Linked DNA regions of Coturnix japonica. The protein of the gene in region 2 purifies or fractionates together with the protein of the main gene of each other region. This does not show direct contact. Links are inferred from orthologs where the notes say so. Each region holds a gene or a part of one and is shown on either strand. Other genes may lie near its edges.

Region 1 (4,281 bases), on a different chromosome or scaffold from region 2:
AATTTCTGAAAAGTTAGAGGAAAGTAATTAATACAGCCAGTATACTGTGACACTTTCTGGCTGAGTTTGAAAGTTTATGGTTTCTGCAATATGAGTTTCATATTAATATGCGATAAACTTACCAATCTTCCCAGCTCCAACGGAACTGGAAGTTGCTCAAGTGGTGAGAAAACCAGTTAATGAATCTTCATTGTAAGAAGAAGAAGAAAAAAAAAGCTTTATTAAATATTCAGAGTGCAGAAAATTCCTTCCTTTGAGAATTTCTTGTAAATACATTCTATATGCCAAAGGCAGCACAGCATTACACTTCTGTCAAAAGACTAAGTTCGGAAAATCAGAAACCAGATATTCTGGACCAAGAGAGAGTGTCATGTCCTACTGTACCATATGGATGGATACACAGAAGTTCTTGCCAGCACTATAGCGGAGTGTTTTAGAAAGAAAGGGCACAAGGCCCCAAACTTCTATTTACATTGATCATATCAAGAGCCCTCCAAAATTGTTTTGAATGGCACTAAGGATTTATAGTAAGAATTTTGGATTATTTTTTCTGTAGATTCCTTAATGCCCAGCACATAGAAAAAACAAAGAATATTTTCCATCCCTGGAAAACACATTTACCTGTCAACACAGGTTGTATTCATTGTATCCAAACGCATGTAGAGCATTTCTGTGGCTTGTGCAAGCTGAAGTTTCTTATTAAGGTTAACAAAAAAGCACTAGGATAAATCAAATGCAATTCCATTCAGTTTTGGAATAGAACTGCAAGAACTGATAGCTCCTTTGGACTATTCCAGAAGCAGGTAAATCACACTAAATTCATAGGGGGGGGATAACAGAAAGACAAGAAGCCAAAAAGCATTTTCCCATCTAACACTGTTTCTCTTCCATGGCAGTGAGATTGCTGTCTGCTACACCAAGTTAGAATTCTCTTCACGCAACAGAACTGTACAGACACAAACAGATAACAATCAAGTACTTCTGTAACCTTCCTTGTACCTTAACAGGCTGCTCTTGATACTCATGCACAAACAACCTTTGATCATAACTGAAAACTCAAGAAACTGTGTCTACGCTGGCTTTGCCCAACAAAGGCTTTGTTCTTTTACAGCATCCCTATTAACATTAAAAGCCTTCTGCACAGAGATCCCACAGTTCTAGGAACCTTTCTAGCTCTAATCACTGGCATTACGTGATTTTCAAACAATGTGTCCTTTTGGCCAAGAAGGCCAATGGTACCCTGGGGTGCATTACAACAGGTGTGGTTAATGCACTGAGGGAGGTGATCCTTCCCTTTCCTGCCCTGGTGAGGCCATGTCTGGATTTCCATGTCCAGATGCTTCCACTGAGAGCATCTGAGTAGGAACTTGTGCAGGTTCATTTTAAATGATCTGCTATGCTCACACAGATTAAGTTTATCCCTTCCTTTCCTTCTCAGCCTTCAATATGCAATCAGGCCACACGTTATGCAGTCCTAACAGGATACTAGAACAGCAACTCTTTGGAAAGTGAAAGGAGTACCAGCGTAGTGTTCAGAAATCTGAGTAGTCTTGCTCAGTCACCCAGACTAGACCGATGCTACACGGGCTGTGCTGTTCTTTCATGCAAGTATTACAAGCAAAGCCTCATATGGCAGCTGTAAAATAGATTACTGACAATATTTATTGCTATTTCTTCACCTACAGAACAAGTGGCATAAAGACTCCATTTTAAAAATGCTCTCTGGAAACAAAGGAAGGATACAACTTGTGGTAAAGAGCCAGGCTGAAGCTTGCACAGTTCAATCAGGAGCGTTGTGTACATGACCTCGATGTGTGGTGGAGAAGGAAGCTGAAACAACTCTGCAAAAATTACCTGCAGGAGAGGAAGGCATAGAATCAGAGCACAGTCAGCTTCAGATCAGCAACATCAGCCTTAAACAAGCACATACTCAAATTGGCTGTTATTATTCTGTCAAGCAAAAGGAGAAAAAGGTGATGCTTACAAAGACAGTGGTAACTCTACATCATATTAGAAGATTCTAAACCACTCTCATCGTTTTGTACTAACACAACACAGTCCCAGCATTAGACACATCTAAGAAATACATCTACATTATGCTCTATTTAGCGTTACCAAATGGTGCTGGCAAAACAAAGTGGGAATAACCTGGTTCTACTAAACAATAAACATTAAACACATTAAGCAAAGCCTAAGTATACAATATGAAAGACAACCAACATGAAAATTAGACAGTACTTTTTCACTCTATACTCTATAAGGAGATGAACTCCATCGAGAAAGCTTCTGGGTCTGATAAAGATGGAGGACTGCTATCCACTCCTGCTCTTTCAAGATGAGTTACATGAGGAAGCCACAAGGAAATGACAAAAACACGATAAGCTCCTCCCTTGGGATACAGAAATATCAGGAACACAGGTAGTGTTCTCTTCATTCTTCTTGGCTGGAGACTGTGACCCACGTGGATGCAGTGAAAGGACCATGCCAGTGACTGGCTGCAGGAATGGTATCAATCTCAGGGTTACGGGTTCTGTGATTCTGGACACACCTTCAAGAGATTGGGTAGGCTGACATTGGATGGTATGCAACTGTTGGGACAGAGCAACAATTTAATGGGCAGAAAGCTGGCTGGGCTAAGAGAACTTTAAATAAGATCTGATGGGGGAAGAGCTTGTACTTTTAAGTGACAGAGAAGAGCCAGGAAACACTGTCACTTTAGAAAGCAGCAAAGAAAAACCTCAGATCTGTCTCAGAGGGCTCTTACAAGAAGGCATCGTGGCCAACAGCCTGCCCAAAGTACCTCTACACCAATGCATGCAGCATGGAAAATAAGCAGGAGATGACACCATGGTGCAGTTAGAAACTGTGATGTAGTTGCCATTGCAGAAACATAGTGAGACAAGTCACAACACTGGAAACACTTCAGCTGAGGGCTGCAACGTTTCAGAAGACAGGCAAGGAAGGAGTGGGGAAGGAGTTGCTCTATAAGCACAGAGTGTGAACAGCTGCCTCTGGAAAACAGTCACAATCAGGTTGAGTGCTTCTGGGGACCATACCAATAAGGGACCTCTGGTGGTCAGGCTCCCTGATCAAGGAGCCCACTGATGAGGTCTTCTTGCTTTGTCTGCAAGAGATGTGTGGTCTGTCCCCATTCTGATGGGGAATTTCAACCACATGGATGTCTGCTGGAAAAGCAACATGGTGAGCCTTAAGCAATCCAGGAGACTTCTGCAGTGCTACTGAGGACAGCTTCCTTGCACCAACAGGGGATGAAGCATTACTGAACCTGGAGCTCACTGATGCAGTTGAAATCATGAAACAGGTTAAGACTGGAGGCAGCATGGGCTATAGCAACTACATCCTGTTTGAGTTTGTGATTTTAAGGAAGATGGGCCTGGCACAGATCAAAGCCGGGACCCTGACATTCAGGAGAGTGACATTTCATCTGTTTGAAGAATTACTGGATGGGATCCCCATAAAGCTGTTGTTGTGGACAAAGGAATAGTACAGAGCTGGCAGCAGTTTCAAGACAACTCTCCATCCCCAGCATAAGAAATCTACTAAGCAGAGAAGGCAGGAAACTGGAGATGATATGAGACGGCAAGCAGAGCTTCACCAAGGGCCAACCATACCTGACCAATCTGGCAGCCTTCTGTGATGGAGTGACAGCATCAGTGGACAAATGAAAGGCAAGAGATACCATCTACCTAGACTTCTGCAAGGCCTTTGACATGTTCATAAAATAGTTACAGTTGGAAAAGACTTCTAACGTGCTCAGCTCCAACCACCAATCAATCACCACCATGCCTACTAAACAACATCCATCAATGCTGCATCTACACTCTTCTTGAAAACCTCCAGGGATGGTGGCTCCACCACCTACCTGGGTAGCCTGTTCCAATGCCTCACCATCCTTTCTGAGGAAAGGTTTTGCTTAATATGCAACCTAAACCCCTTCTGGTGCAACACCACACTACATCCTTATCCCTAAACTAGAGAAATACAGATTTGAAGGGTGGTTAAATAACTGGTTGGATGCTTGCAGCCAGAGGATTGTGTTCAGCATGTAGAGGCTGGTGACTGACTGGTGATCCCCAGGGGCCCATCCTAGAACTGGTGTTCTCCAACATCTTGATCAGTGACCTAGAAAGCAGGGTTGGCACAATCAGCAGATTTGCTGATGGCACTATGCTGAGTGGTGCAGGTGATGCAGCAGAAGGAAGGGATATCATCCACAGAGACTTTACAGTGCTGAGAAGTGTGTGCATGTGAAACTAAAGC
Region 2 (4,730 bases):
TTAACAGACTTAATGTATCTCTAATCCTGTGAACTCACGCCATCATACCTGAAGATTCTTCTTCCTGTGGAAGACAATGGATTTTGCCTTGACTTTTCTGTCCTTAATATCCACTTTGTTGCCACACAACACTATAGGGATGTTTTCACATACCCGTACCAGGTCTCTATGCCAGTTGGGTACATTCTTGTAAGTAACTCTTGATGTTACATCAAACATTATAATGGCACATTGAGCTGTAAAAAAAACCAAACAATTACATCAGGCAGGTAACCACTTTCTTATAAACTGGAGTGGGAAAGAGTACCCACAATAATCAGTTATTAGGGGTGCCAGCATTAGGTTTCTCTTCAGTCTCACAGTTGAGAACATGCCATTTACCAGATCAAAGTGCAAGATAATCACTGTGCAGGAGTCCACAGAACTCAGCCCATGACCCTGTCATATGTTTGGTGCTTAACTCTAAATGCCAGCTGCTTCTATTCATGCAGCATCATGCGACAATTCTAATGTTGCATGGCACAGACTACACAATGATTACAAAAGAATTTTAGTTCACCTTAATACCTGAGAAAAATGTCTTAATGCTACTGAACTAATCTCAGCCTATTGAGGCTTTCAGATAAGTGGAGAGCTTGTAGTTCACATCTCAGAATGCCCCTGTCCAGAACAGCTTGCCAAAGAACACTTGATTCTGATACTTCTAAAGGAAAAGTCAGGCTCTAAACCTGTCTTGCAGAATGTTAAAAGGTACATGGGTGACTGAAGTACTCACAGAACAGTCCCTTATCTTCAAGGTCAAGCTCTATTACTACACCTTTAGAAAGGCCATTAGCCTCAGCCAAGGACATGTAGAACTTCTTTATACTATTTTATGTTTTATAGTATGTTTCTTCCAAGTCTTTGCAGCAGCACAGGATACCAATACAGGTAATTTTTACTCACTTACGCATACTTACCTCTTAACCACTTAATTTCATGAGTACTATCACTGAAGGTGCACAGTTACTCTTCAGTAAAATCAAAGCCCACAGCAATGGGTTTCACAGACTGAAACTAAGTTTTAGTACGGAAACAGATCTGACTATATTTATACAAAGTTCCAACACTCATAAGGGAGCTCACCAGTGTAAGCCATGTTAAAAGCTCTCAGAGTGGCCAAACTGAACAGAACACAGGACATAACTACATATGAGCACATCTTACCTTGGATGTAATAGCCATCTCGCAGACCACCAAATTTCTCCTGGCCAGCTGTGTCCCATACATTAAATTTAATAGGGCCTCTATTAGTATGGAATACCAGAGGATGAACTTCAACACCCAATGTTGCTACAGTAATAGGAAAGAACAGTCAGCAAGTTGTCAATTATACTTTCGATAGTAACACACAAGATCTTGAGTATTTCTTCAGACATACCTACATATTTCTTCTCAAATTCACCAGTCAAATGACGTTTTACAAATGTTGTTTTACCGGTGCCACCATCACCGACCAGGACAAGCTGTTAATACATTTAAGTAAAGAAGGTCAGAGCGACATAGTTTGTCTTACAAAATACCGTGAAGAAAACACTAAAATTCCCAATGAAGTAACTTTCTATGTTGGGTTTTAATTTGTTAAACGAGTCATTCTATAAGTCCTGTCCAAACTTAACTAGTCCCTGTAACTGAGAACTAGAACACATTGTGCTAAAGATGTGTTATAATAAAATACAAGCATCTGAATTGCTGGAGAAAAGAACTGTAATCTTGCAATTGGAAAAAAAGAAAACCTGTGTTACTAACAATTGGGATATATTAGATGAACAGTGTAAAAAAAACAAGCATCAATCAATGCAGCAGCCATAAGACTTCTGGCTGTTAAGGTAACAGCTCTGCTCCATTATGTTCCACCCCAGTAGTTGATGTGGCATAAAACAAGTTGCTCTAAGTCACTTTTAGCACTCTTTGTTCGTTGCTGTGAATATCACTCCATGAAGTCACCACGTTTTAAGTGGTGTTTTTATGTGAAGTTATTTTTTTGGTAAAGCAGCAAATAGCACCAGATTGATAGGACAATAGAATGCTGTTGTGAGGCAATGCAGTACGTGATCAGCTCAACACATCGATGAAGTCAGCACTTTAAAACCAAATCCACCATCCACGGCACTTCTTGGAAGTTCTTCTTGCTACTTTTCTATGGAAGGAGAGGAAAAATAGAAAGGATCCTTTACCTTAAACTGCACTTGGGGCTCTCCTTGGGCGGCCATGCTGGGTCTGCAGGGGGAAATGGAAGCATGTGTGAGCTCAATGAGCCGAGCTGCTTCAAGGCCCCGCCGGAAGGGGCCGGCCGAGCTTCTCGGCTTCCAAACCGCCTCCCGGGCCGCGTGCTCCGCGTTTCAACCATCGGCAGCCGCTGCAAAGGCCCCAAGTTCGGCCCGGGCCGATGCTCCCCACCCGGCCCTGGTCCCGGTTCGCCATCACCGCCCCATACGAGGCGGCAGCGCGCGGTAATGGCGGCGGCAGCTCCCCGCCCACCCCCGGGGCCCGTAACGGAAGAGCCGCCGCCGCCACCACCGCGCCCCTGGGGCTTCCACGCTACGATAAACGGGGCCGAGCCGCGGCCTGACTATTAAAAAGGCGGCTCCGGCCTTTATATATGAAACACAGCAGCACATCCCGTTCCAAACACCTCATCGGGTGGTGCGGGCCGGTCGCAGCCCCCATCCCCATCCCACCATGACTGAGCAGCGCCGCCTCCCCTCCCCCCCCCCCCCAACAGCCGCCCGGACCGTTGGAGGCCCCGCTGCCATGATTCCCATCCCACACACCGCCCGCTGTTACCTCAGCGATGAGCCGGGCTCCGCTCTCACCCCACACGGCTCCAATAAGGGCCACAAGGACAGGCCGCCACGCAGGCACGGCGCTCACGCGGGCCCGGCCTCAACACAACCCAACCCGGCGGTTATAACACCGTCCACCCACCTCACAGCAGCCTCACATCCCCATAACCCGGCCCTAAAGGGAACAGAACCCCATCCCAACCCCATCCCATCCCTATTACCTCTCCCGGGGCTTCTAACCGCGTCGCTCCGTGCCGTGACTGGGCGCTGGGAAGATGGCGGAAGCGCGGTTCAAATACCCGGACAGCGACGCCGCGCGGCAGCGGGGAGGGGGAGGGGCTGGGGTCACGTGAGCGGGCGGAGCTGGGACTTGGGCTGGGCCCGGTTCGGTTCTGCCCGTGTCTGTGTTGGTTCTGATCCGGCACCTCGTGTCTATGTCTCTTTAGTGGGGCACAATGCTCCTGCTAAAGGACATAGAGATATAGGACATAGCCCTATGTGGCTCCACGCTGCATCATAGCGCTTCCCTAAGCGCTCACATTCAGGTTATAGTGGAAAAAAAAGTTGTTGATAAGCTCTTCCAAAGAGCAAAGATGCATTTAGTGGAAATACAGAAAGAAAACGCAGAGGAGGCACGGCACTGTGCTGTAGTTTGCTTATCTCATAGACCACAAGGGATGGTACTAAAGGTAGGTCAGGCCCTGGAACAGGCTGCCCAGGGAGGTTGTGGATGCCCCGTCCTTGGAGATGTTCAAGGCCAGGTTGGACGGGGCCATGGGCAACCTGATCTATGGGGTCTCTATGGGGTCTCTATAGGGTCTATGGGGTCTCTATGGGTCTCTATGGGGTCTATGGGGTCTCTATGGGGTCTATGGGGATCTATGGGGTCTCTATGGGGTCTCTATGGGGTCTCCTGGGCAACCTGATCCACACTGGGACCACATCTGAACCACACCGGTACCACCCCATGTCTCTATTGGACTCCCCGCGCTCCCGCGCCCTTTCCCGCCCATTCTCCTCCCGCCGCAGCCCCGCGCATGCGCAGCTCCCTTCCCGCCCAGCATGGTGACGTCAGCAGATCCAAGGCGCGCTTCCCGGTGTCACCCCGGGGCTCGGTTGGCGCATGCGCACTGCGGTGCGGGCTCCGGTTCGTCGTGACGTCGTGTGTGTGTGGGGGGGGGGGCCGAGCGCTGGGCCCGGCCTGAGCGGGGCGGCGGCGGATACGGCGGTCGTTGGAACGGGGCTGTGTGAGGAACGAGCGGAGCTGAGGAGCTGAGGGGATGAAGGACCGGCTGGCTGACCTGGCTGAGGTGAGAGCTGTGGGGCCGCTATGGTTGTAACGGTCGGGGAGGGGCGCGAGGCCCGGGCAGCTGAGGCGGCACCACCACAGGAGTGGCGTGTTTATCCGTTCCCTTCCTTCCCCTTCATTCGCTTTCTGGAAACGGTGTTCTGAGAAAGAAAAGGAGCTGAGCTGATGCTTCTCATCCATAGGATGTGGTATGGTTGAAATGGAAGATTTCCCGCATGGTTTTTTTTTTTAATTTTCCTAATCTGGGAATAAATAGCAATGGTGTATGTTGCATGTAGTCTCCTTTTTTGGTTGTGTGCTATTCGTTTCGGAGGAAATAGAAACTGGAGTTTGTGTGCTGTTAGAAATAGTCATGGCTTCTGTGAGTCCTCTATACCAAGAGGGAAAAATGTTACTTGTCAGTGCTCACAGAATGAGCCGGGTTGGAAGGGACCTCAAGGATCATGTAGTTCCAACCCCTCTGCCTGGCAGGGCCACCAAACATACACATTTACTACATCAGGTTGCCCAGGAGACCCCATAGATCCCCATAGAGACCCCATAGACCCCCATAGAGACCCCATAGATCCCCATAGAGACCCCATAGATCCCCATAG

Evidence for each region. The genes of interacting proteins can lie anywhere in the genome.
Region 1: the proteins of RAN (region 2) and NCBP1 purify together in Homo sapiens (co-immunoprecipitation; 3 studies listed by BioGRID and IntAct, with this or other methods). This does not show direct contact. The link is inferred for Coturnix japonica from reciprocal best matches to the Homo sapiens genes RAN and NCBP1.

What each region holds. Positions count from the first base shown.
Region 1 is NC_029547.1:62,565,460-62,569,740, forward strand, and holds part of NCBP1 (nuclear cap-binding protein subunit 1), read right to left. Parts: intron 1,855-4,281; coding exon 1,744-1,854; intron 687-1,743; coding exon 622-686; intron 186-621; coding exon 123-185; intron 1-122. UniProt on the Homo sapiens protein: Component of the cap-binding complex (CBC), which binds cotranscriptionally to the 5'-cap of pre-mRNAs and is involved in various processes such as pre-mRNA splicing, translation regulation, nonsense-mediated mRNA decay, RNA-mediated gene silencing (RNAi) by microRNAs (miRNAs) and mRNA export.
Region 2 is NC_029530.1:2,657,687-2,662,416, forward strand, and holds the start of RAN (GTP-binding nuclear protein Ran), read right to left. Parts: upstream 3,178-4,730; 5' UTR 3,047-3,177; intron 2,260-3,046; 5' UTR 2,253-2,259; coding exon 2,217-2,252; intron 1,506-2,216; coding exon 1,421-1,505; intron 1,333-1,420; coding exon 1,207-1,332; intron 237-1,206; coding exon 49-236; intron 1-48. Other genes in the region: STX2 (syntaxin-2), read left to right, coding at 3,419-3,514. UniProt on the Homo sapiens protein: GTPase involved in nucleocytoplasmic transport, participating both to the import and the export from the nucleus of proteins and RNAs. Switches between a cytoplasmic GDP- and a nuclear GTP-bound state by nucleotide exchange and GTP hydrolysis.